2 linked regions of the Caenorhabditis elegans genome follow. The protein of the gene in region 1 interacts with the protein of each later gene in a pairwise test. Each region holds a gene or a part of one and is shown on either strand. Other genes may lie near its edges. The genes, in order: abhd-3.2 and F25D1.5.

Region 1 (5,214 bases):
AGTGCATTTGGTACAATTTGGAAATTTGAATTTCGAAATAAACAACAATTTTTATAAATGAAATGCAGTAAAATCTGTTACAGCAGATTAAAATTGTAAGAATGAAGTTCTCTGCATGTTTTTATTATTGCATCAACCAAAGTGGTCTATTGAAATACTTTTGGGTTTTTGAAGTGGAACGGCAAAAACAGATGACGAATGTTCTTCATAAGAGGGAAAACGACAGATTTTCTCATTTCAAGACGAACTATTGATTGTTAATGATTACTAGAGTTTTTTGCAAGCTGAATAAAGAACTCGAAACTACAATCTATAATATCTGAAGATTTGCCAAAGGAAAACTGTACGAAATGCAGACTGAAAGTTTGTTGAAGCCGCAATCTTTGTGGCAATCATTGAAAGTGGATTCGAAAGAAAGGAATTCGATGACAAACATCTTCTGTTCTGATGTGATGTGAGCGATATGTACTTTTGTTGTTAAAATGAAAAATGAAATACAGCTATTCTTCAACAAAGTCCCAGTAAATTGGCAAATTAGAATTCTTATATTTTCGTTGGAATATGTACCCTGAACGTGAACTTTAAATACAGATTACAATAGTTTGTTATTTCAGCTTGAAAACTTTAGTGGAATAGAAATGATATACTAATACAATTAACTGACAAAACATATGTAGTTTGATAAAACATTTGTGAGTATGTAGTGGCATATGCTACAAATTTATTTGCCGTTTGCCGAATCTACTTCTCGCCAAATTTGCTGCACACATGAACAATTTTAAATAAAAATTGTATCCAAAACTAATGGTTTCGATAAGATACTTGATGAAAGAAAATATAGCATCGTGTTTTTTTTTTCATTTTTATTCAAGAAATGCGCATTTGGCCGCGCTCGGCAAATTAGGCAAAATTTCACAGTTTTAATTTTATTTTTACAATTTTAGAGTATTTTGATTACTTTGAAGACCTGCAAAATGTTTTCAAATGAAGTTTTTGCCAACTTTCAATGTTTTAGATTTTTTTAAAAGTTTTACAAAAAAATTTCCAAAATGTTTTCTGATTGCAAATACACAAATTTCGTATGTAGTGACAAATGCAAAAAATAGATCGAACATATTTCACAGCTCTGTAGTTCAAGGATGGATTAATTAAAATTCAGTTACAGATTTTGTGAACATTTGTTTTGAAAAATCCTTTTTCCATTCAAAAGAGTTTTTGGTATTTCGTGTACTTTTAAACTTCTAAGCAGCTGTATAATAATATCTTTTGAACTCATATTTTTATAGTAAAATGTTCGTTGCCCTCCGGTTATTTTTTCTGTCTATCATTACCAAAAAACCAAAAAATTTTCAACTTTGTTCTCGCCGCAGAAAAAAACGCTTTCACTAAAACTGGCCTGATCTGTCAAAAAAATTGCGATGACTCTTATCAGACAAAAACCTTGAGTTTTTTCGGTGATAACAAGGCATTTTTAGTACAAAACGGCACTGTTATCAGATCTTCAAGTACATGCAAAGCTGATTAATGTTGCACCGCTCGTTCTATGAACTTTTCTTATCGAAACCATTAACTTTTGCGCCATCAATTTCATTGAAAATTATTGAATTGTGAATTGGTAGCGAAAAAAGTTGGTTTTTCTCTGTTCGGAAAGGTTTTTGGTTTTCTGTTCAGTTTTTTTTTTCATAATTTAACATTTCTCAAAGATTTAACTTTTTAACTTCTTTTTTCTGTTTACCTTTATTAATAGAGCATTTTCGGCTTACCAACCAAAATATGCACCCAGGAAACAATTTTTCCAAAATGTTTCAGCAGTCTTAGGTTTGATGCAATCAAAAAAATTTGCTAAAGTATACATTTTTTAGAGTCTTTTGCTTTTTCTTGCACCATAACTGCGCAATTTTGCTTTAAATTTTTATAAAATCAGTTTTTTACTTTTTCAGCTCAATATGGTTCTGCCATTGATTTTGACTTTGGTGATAGTTGCTCCGATATTTTTATGGATGTATTCCTGGTACATTTCAGCAGTACGTTTCATATTGTAAATATCCCGTTAAGAGAATAAGATTGCAGATACCGAAGCACTATGTTAAGCCTGGTACCAAGCTTCAAAAGAAGGTTCATTCGAATTTAAGGATTTTGGAGCAAAAGTACCATCCTAGTTGGTGGTGCCCCTTTGGCACGACTCAAACCGTAGTACGACAGATATTCCGGGATTGTCCATCGCTACCATTTACAAGGTTTGTTCAATTTTAAGTGTTAAGTATATATTTTGTATTTAATATACCGTAATTTGTTTACTAGTTTTGAGATATTCAGTTGGAGTTCAGAACTTCAAAAATTGAATTTATATAGGACGTAAGGGTGTGAAAATTCAGTACAAAAATGTGTTGTCTAGTCGATTGAACCGAGCTTAAAACACACGTCTTATCTAGAAACAAATGTGATAGTCATTTCTGTGGAGTCTAGTGCTTAGAAACAGTTTAGTTCAATTGAGCAAAAATTTGAATAGCTGAATCGATTTAGAATCTAGTTGGTTCAACTGGTATATTTACAGTTAATAGCCAAAACAACAATAATTGAAAATCTTAACTATGTATTGTTTCATAGATTCATAAACTTGATGTACGTTAATTCATATCAAAACGGAGACGCTGTCATTTCATCAAACTATTTCCAGAGAAATAGTAGAGTTCGACGATGGTGGTGCAGCTGGAATAGACTGGTTGATCCCTGAAGGTGCTGATGACACCACCCCAATTGTCGTTTTCTTGCCGGGAATCACAGGAAGTACTCATGACAGCAGCTACGTTCTCCATCCTGTCAAAGAAGCAAGAGATAAGGGCTGGAAGTGTGTGGTCGTGAACCCACGAGGACTTGGTGGTGTTAAGCTGAGAACTACTAGGACGTACAATGCCGCCACTCCACATGATTTTGCGTTCATTGCTAAGATGATTAATGAAAGATATCCGGATGCAAAGAAGCTGGGATGCGGGTTTTCCATGGGAGGGTGAGTGTAGTTTAGGAGCTAAAAAGATTCAGCAACACGCTTATTTTCAGAATGATTCTCTGGAACTATCTAGCGATGACTGGAGAAAATGCAGATCTGGACGGAGGCATGATTGTTTCTTCTCCGTGGGATCCCCTTGTTGCTTCTGATTCTATTGAATGCTTTATTCCACAACTTATTTTCAACAGCTTTATTGCAAAGAACTTGGTAGATATGGTGAGACCGTAAGTTTTGATGTTTTTTCGTTTATATTAGTAAGGTGTTTATTTTTAATATTTTAAATCTGATGACTTTTAAACAACAAACGTAGTTGGTATAAAAAATTGGCATTGAGAAAATTTGAGGAGACATGAGCAGGCCCTGTGCTCAAAGAGCTGGCAAGCTTCTCATTAAGTGATTGGTTTTTGCGCGTTAATTTGAAGCAATTCCTTTACGCCCAAATTTTTAGTATTTCCTGCTAAGCTATTAATGAACCAAACCCCTGAGTTCATAAGTAGCTCCCACAATTCCAGGTACCGCGAGCTATTCAAAGATATGGTGGATTTTGACGAAGTGTGCAGATGCAATACGGTTAGAGGGTTTGATCGATCTTTTGTGATTCCCATGTATGGGTTCAAGAGTTGCGATGACTATTACAGACAGGCTACTTTGGCGACAAAGGTAACATTTGAAACTTGGTTTGTAAAAATTTGAAAAATCAATTTCCAGGTAGACAAAATCAAGATTCCATGTGTAACACTGAATTCTGTTGATGATTATTTCAGCCCGGTGGAATGTAAGTTTTGGTTTGAACAGCTTTGAAAACTAATGTTCATATACAAACATGAGTGCTTGCTACGTTTCTCTAGTTCATAATTAGACGTGTTTGCTCTACGGTAATAACAGCAACCGACACATTGCGGGTTGCAAAAAATTATAAAACGTGTGGAATTTTTATGAAATATATATTAAATATGTAATTGAAAAGCTAGTTTTCTAATTACATTTTTTAAACAAAATACCAAATTTAATAATTATTCATACATTTCCCCTATTTAGGCATCCCTACATTAGATATAATGGAGAGCGACTACGTTTGCGGTATTATCACCAATCACGGAGGACATACTGCTTTCATGGAGTCTGCTGATCCAAATGCGCGCGGAATGGTGGAAAAGTTGCTCTCGCAATGGGGAAATATGATCTTCCATGATTATTCATGAGCTTTGATGGATTGTGCAATGTTTTCAAATTATACGTATTATTTTTGTATTATTAGGACTATTACACTTTTTGAACAATATCAGGTTTTTCAGTACATCCCGGTTTTTTATTATTATTGTGATTTTAATTTAATTTTTTAAATGTGCAAAGAGTTAATGGTTGCAGATATGACTAGATGAAACTCTTTTTTTGTCAAATAAAAACTTCAAACACGAATTGAAAATAGTGTAAAATTAATATTTGGCTGCAGTTTCATGTGAACGAAAAATTGTGTTATGTCCTTCAAATTAGAACCAGCCACCTTGCATTGAATAGTCATAAATCTGTGAAGTTTGCGTTAAGCTGGAGCTTTGGTAAAACCCTACCATAAGTACAGGGAACAATTTTGAAAAGCTCTGATACGAGTTAATTATTTTAGTACCAGCCGTGGACCGCACCTACGGCGCGGCCCCCGACTTTTTTGAGAAAACACATTAGATATACGGTGTCTATCGCGGACCTCGATCGATGTCTGCTGCGCATTTAGCATAAGGTTTCCCAAAATTTCGTTGCTCTGATCGGAGATCAAACTACATAGGGACAGAAGGACACGCGCTTTATATATAGTAAATGATAATTGTTGTCCTAGTACATCACGCATACGGATAATAATTCTTATACATATTTCATAGACTTTTGTTCAGGACCAAGTTAGTATAATGAAAAATTGGAGAAGATTCAGTTTTCTTCAGATTTTCTCCGACAGAATGCAAATTCTCCTGCTCTACTTCTGCTCCACTTTTCCACTTTTTCCATCTTTCCTCACTCTCCACAGCCTTCCTCCGTCTACGTCTCCACTAGCCTAGCCATCTCTCAAAATCGATGCTGGCACTGGACACTCACCCGACGCGGTGACAGAGACGGCCGCGGCCTAGAGTTCTCCATTTCTTTTCTTTTACCATATGTTTTTATACACGTTGGCCACTAGCTCTTTCTACTAATCAACCATGGATCTCGTGCAGTCA
Region 2 (3,633 bases), on another chromosome or scaffold:
ATCTGATTTTAATTTCTATATTTTAAAGAAAACTCGATTCATCCGTGGCGAATGGCTTTCAAGACTTCGAAACCAAGTTTTGATGGCCCAGTCATATTCTCCAACTCCTCAATATGATGTGTAAGTCTTTTAAGCGTAATCTGAGTTGTGAGTAGGGTGAGCTCAGTGATGGCAAACGACGCCGCCGTGACGTCTTGTTCTAATTGAGTGTATGCGTGCAAATAAACATTAAACTTGGTACTTTCAACGGAACAAACTTTTTTCAGAGTAAATCTTCTTCACATCAAGTTCTATTTTGCACACTTTAAACAAGAGACTATTCTTCAAGAAAGATCCTACAACTTATTTTTACTTCTTGGTGAGTTTTACTCGATGTGCTTGTAACTTTGAAAGTTTTCAGCCGAAATTGGAGGAACCATTGGATTATATGTTGGAGCAACACTTCTAACTGCAGCAGAAACTCTTGTTTTTCTTTGTGAACGAAAGAAAAGTAATATATTCCTAAAACCACAATTTATATAAAAGTATTCAATGTATTTTATTGTGTATTTTACGACTATTACATTAGATAACAATGGTTAACAAAATCTGAAAAAAAAAGTTATAGTTTACTGACTAAGAACGGACATAAGATCATGTGTTTGCATTCCCATAACAAGAGTTGATCCTCCATCAGCAACAATCGATTGTCCAATAATGTAAGATGAGAGGTTTCTATCAGCCAGGAATACAATGATATTGGCAATTTCTTCTGGCTTTCCACAATGCCCAACAGGAATGCATTCTTTCCGTGAGCCAATAAAACTGTAAAGCTTGTCAGATGCAGTTTCTGGTAAACCCATCGCTCCCATGAAACCAGTGGCAACTGCTCCAGGGCTGACAGAATTTACGCGGACACCATGTTGAATAAGATCGATTGCAGTGCATCTGGTGTATTGGTCAAGCGCAGCTTTTGCGCAAGCATAATATGGATATCCAGAGTGCTGAAAATTAAAACAAAAGTTCTGAAATCCTCTCTCCCGAAGCTTACTGCTTGTGGGCCAGCAACGATACTGGAAACATTTACAATCTCTCCTTTTGTCTTTATCAAATGTTCCTTTGTTTTCTGAGTCATTTCGATCACAGCTTGGAAGTTTAACTTGAATGTTTTCTGATACAACTCCACTGGTTGATCCGTATTAGCTGTTCCGTCAGCTAAATTGGCACCAGCATTATTAACCTAAAACAATTGAGTATATTTCATTTTCTATCTATGTACATACCAAGATATCAATTTTTCCGAATTTAGCAAGAGTCGTGTTGATGATATCATCTTGTCCTGATGCTTCGGTAACATCAGCAACCACGGCATTAATCTTCTCAGCTGGAACTCCTGCTTTCAATATTTGCTGTTTGGTTTCTTCTAGGCGATCTTCATTTCTTCCAGTAATTGTAACTTGAGCTCCTTCCTTTGCAAAAATCACAGCAGCCGATCTTCCGATTCCATTAGAAGAACCAGTTATAATGACAGACTTTCCAGAAAAGCGAGCCATTATTTTGAGATTACAAAAATAAAATGTCAATCAGATGAATGTGATGTTTAAATGCAGTTTAATGTTTTCTTTTTATACTCATTGCAGTTAAAATTATTTCATGGTTGAATGGAAGTTTGTAGTTTCCGTGACTAAAATATGAAATATCTGTTTACGTAGAGAGTATTTTCAAAGTTACTTCCCGAAGAGACCATAGACAGTGTAACAATTTTTGTGACTGTTAATTCCTCTGCGTCTCTTTGAATTGTGTCTATTTTTGTGCAAGCACAGTTGAGGGAAGATCAATTGATCAAGTTTTCAATATGAAAACACAACTATGATTTCAGGAATTTTAAAATTTTATTTGCTTAAAAAAAAAATAATTTCCGTGTCCAATAGTCTTGCACCCATCTCTCCATCTTTAGCTGCTTATTTTTCGGTTGTTTTTTTAATTTTGTCAGACATTCGCCAACTAGCAAAATATAAACAATAAGCTTTTTCTTAGGGCTTTAATAACACATTTCTAGTATCGTTAAAACGTAGTGCGACACTAGACGTCAAAATGAATTAATTTGGTGAGGAAATACGGTGAATAGTCTCTCTAGATCCAAAAACTTGTTTAACAATAATTGTTTGAGAGCTTTGGCACTTTATTTTAAAGTGTAATGTTGAACTGTAAATATTTTTTCATCGTTATTTTTATTTGCAGATCTTCGAACAATGTTTTTCATTTGTCGGTATTTTTTATTACTGTTATAAAAGTGCTTGTGTAATATCTTTGAACAATGTTATTTTATTCAATTGAGCAAAGTTCCGATTACTACTCCGATTAGTCCACCACTATCATTACCAATTATTCAAAATGCTCAAAAAATGGAAACAGCCGAAATATTGTTACGTCTAACAATTGCAGGTGAAACTTTTTTGCCACAAAACGTATCCTTGAAAAACGCAATAAAGGCTTTTTGGTACGGTGTGATGGTGACAATAACAATGAACGCATCAATAGCTGTTGGAAGAGAAAGCATCATATATAGAACTTTTTCAAAATTTGAGAGAAACGGCAAGTCTGAAAATTGTCACATATTATTTTACTGTAAAAACGGACAGGAGCCTACCATAATTCTCAAGTATTAAGTGAGCTATGTATATAGGAATCACACAAACTGCAGGGACAAGTGTCTGAATCGTCAAAGCAAGATCAAACTTCTTGGCTTGAGCAGCAGTTTTATCAGTAAATAAATGTTTTAAACTGTTGAGTTTAATTTGTATTAGTCTGGAAACACATTGGTAAGTATTTCTTCGAAACTCAAATTTATTACCTAATAAACACAATACTCATGATTGGTGGGACGAAAATGCTTATCATATTCAAATTTGTTGCTAACCAGCTCCAAAAATGTTTTTGATATCCAGTGATATCCGCATAGTACCGGAAATCATATTGTGTTGAATGAAACTTCCTGGTCTCTGAAGCAACCTCAAGAGATTCGTCTGGTTCGTACGTTATCACATAGATCACCTAGAAACATTCATATTTCCATTCTAGATCAATCACGAAAAGCAAAACTCACCCCCACAATTAAAGATAGAAGGTAAGAGCTTAAAAGAATCATTCTGATTTGATTTTTAGTTATGTTTTTCATATTAATATTTGTTACTTTTGTATATTTGTAAAACAATGTAGCAGGAATTGCAAAGGACGAGGCATCAAAGACTAACTGAATTTTGAATATTTGTAAAAAATAACAATTACAGGACACTTACCTGGAAAAAATCAAAACTGAAAAAGCAAGCATTTTTATGAGTGTGTCTACAAAACCCGCTAAAAAGATATGCTGACGATTCTGGATTGTTCACAGGTCTGAAGGAACAGTGTTAGCTAAAAATTAATATTATCGTACAACTAACCTGACTTGTGTGAAGACAACTATTATGCACATGAAAAACTGTAAAGTTGAAGAATTGACAAGAAAGACACGAAAATCTTTGAATACTACGGGCGTTTTAAAAACAACTAAAAGCACGACGGAAGTTTGACTGAACATGGTAAAACCAAAATAAACCCAAAAATAAATTGGAAATATGACAGTGTCGTAAAAGGTCTGAAATTAAAGTAACT

Evidence for each region.
Region 2: the proteins of abhd-3.2 (region 1) and F25D1.5 interact in a two-hybrid assay, tested with the Caenorhabditis elegans proteins (one large-scale study listed by BioGRID).

Annotation. Positions count from the first base shown.
Region 1 is NC_003284.9:974,735-979,948, reverse strand, and holds abhd-3.2 (Protein abhd-3.2), read left to right. Parts: upstream 1-1,940; 5' UTR 1,941-1,946; coding exon 1,947-2,024; intron 2,025-2,070; coding exon 2,071-2,237; intron 2,238-2,677; coding exon 2,678-3,007; intron 3,008-3,057; coding exon 3,058-3,231; coding exon of another isoform or gene 3,232-3,235; intron 3,236-3,519; coding exon 3,520-3,667; intron 3,668-3,715; coding exon 3,716-3,782; intron 3,783-4,045; coding exon 4,046-4,209; 3' UTR 4,210-4,424; downstream 4,425-5,214. Other genes in the region: vps-45 (Vacuolar protein sorting-associated protein 45), read left to right, coding at 5,197-5,214.
Region 2 is NC_003283.11:10,545,221-10,548,853, forward strand, and holds F25D1.5 (DeHydrogenases, Short chain), read right to left. Parts: upstream 1,564-3,633; 5' UTR 1,533-1,563; coding exon 1,263-1,532; intron 1,220-1,262; coding exon 1,031-1,219; intron 984-1,030; coding exon 609-983; 3' UTR 523-608; downstream 1-522. Other genes in the region: degt-1 (Acid-sensing ion channel 1), read left to right, coding at 29-120, 267-358, 401-522; srd-34 (Serpentine receptor class delta-34), read right to left, coding at 2,378-2,580, 2,630-2,787, 2,834-3,033, 3,086-3,232, 3,279-3,375, 3,423-3,460.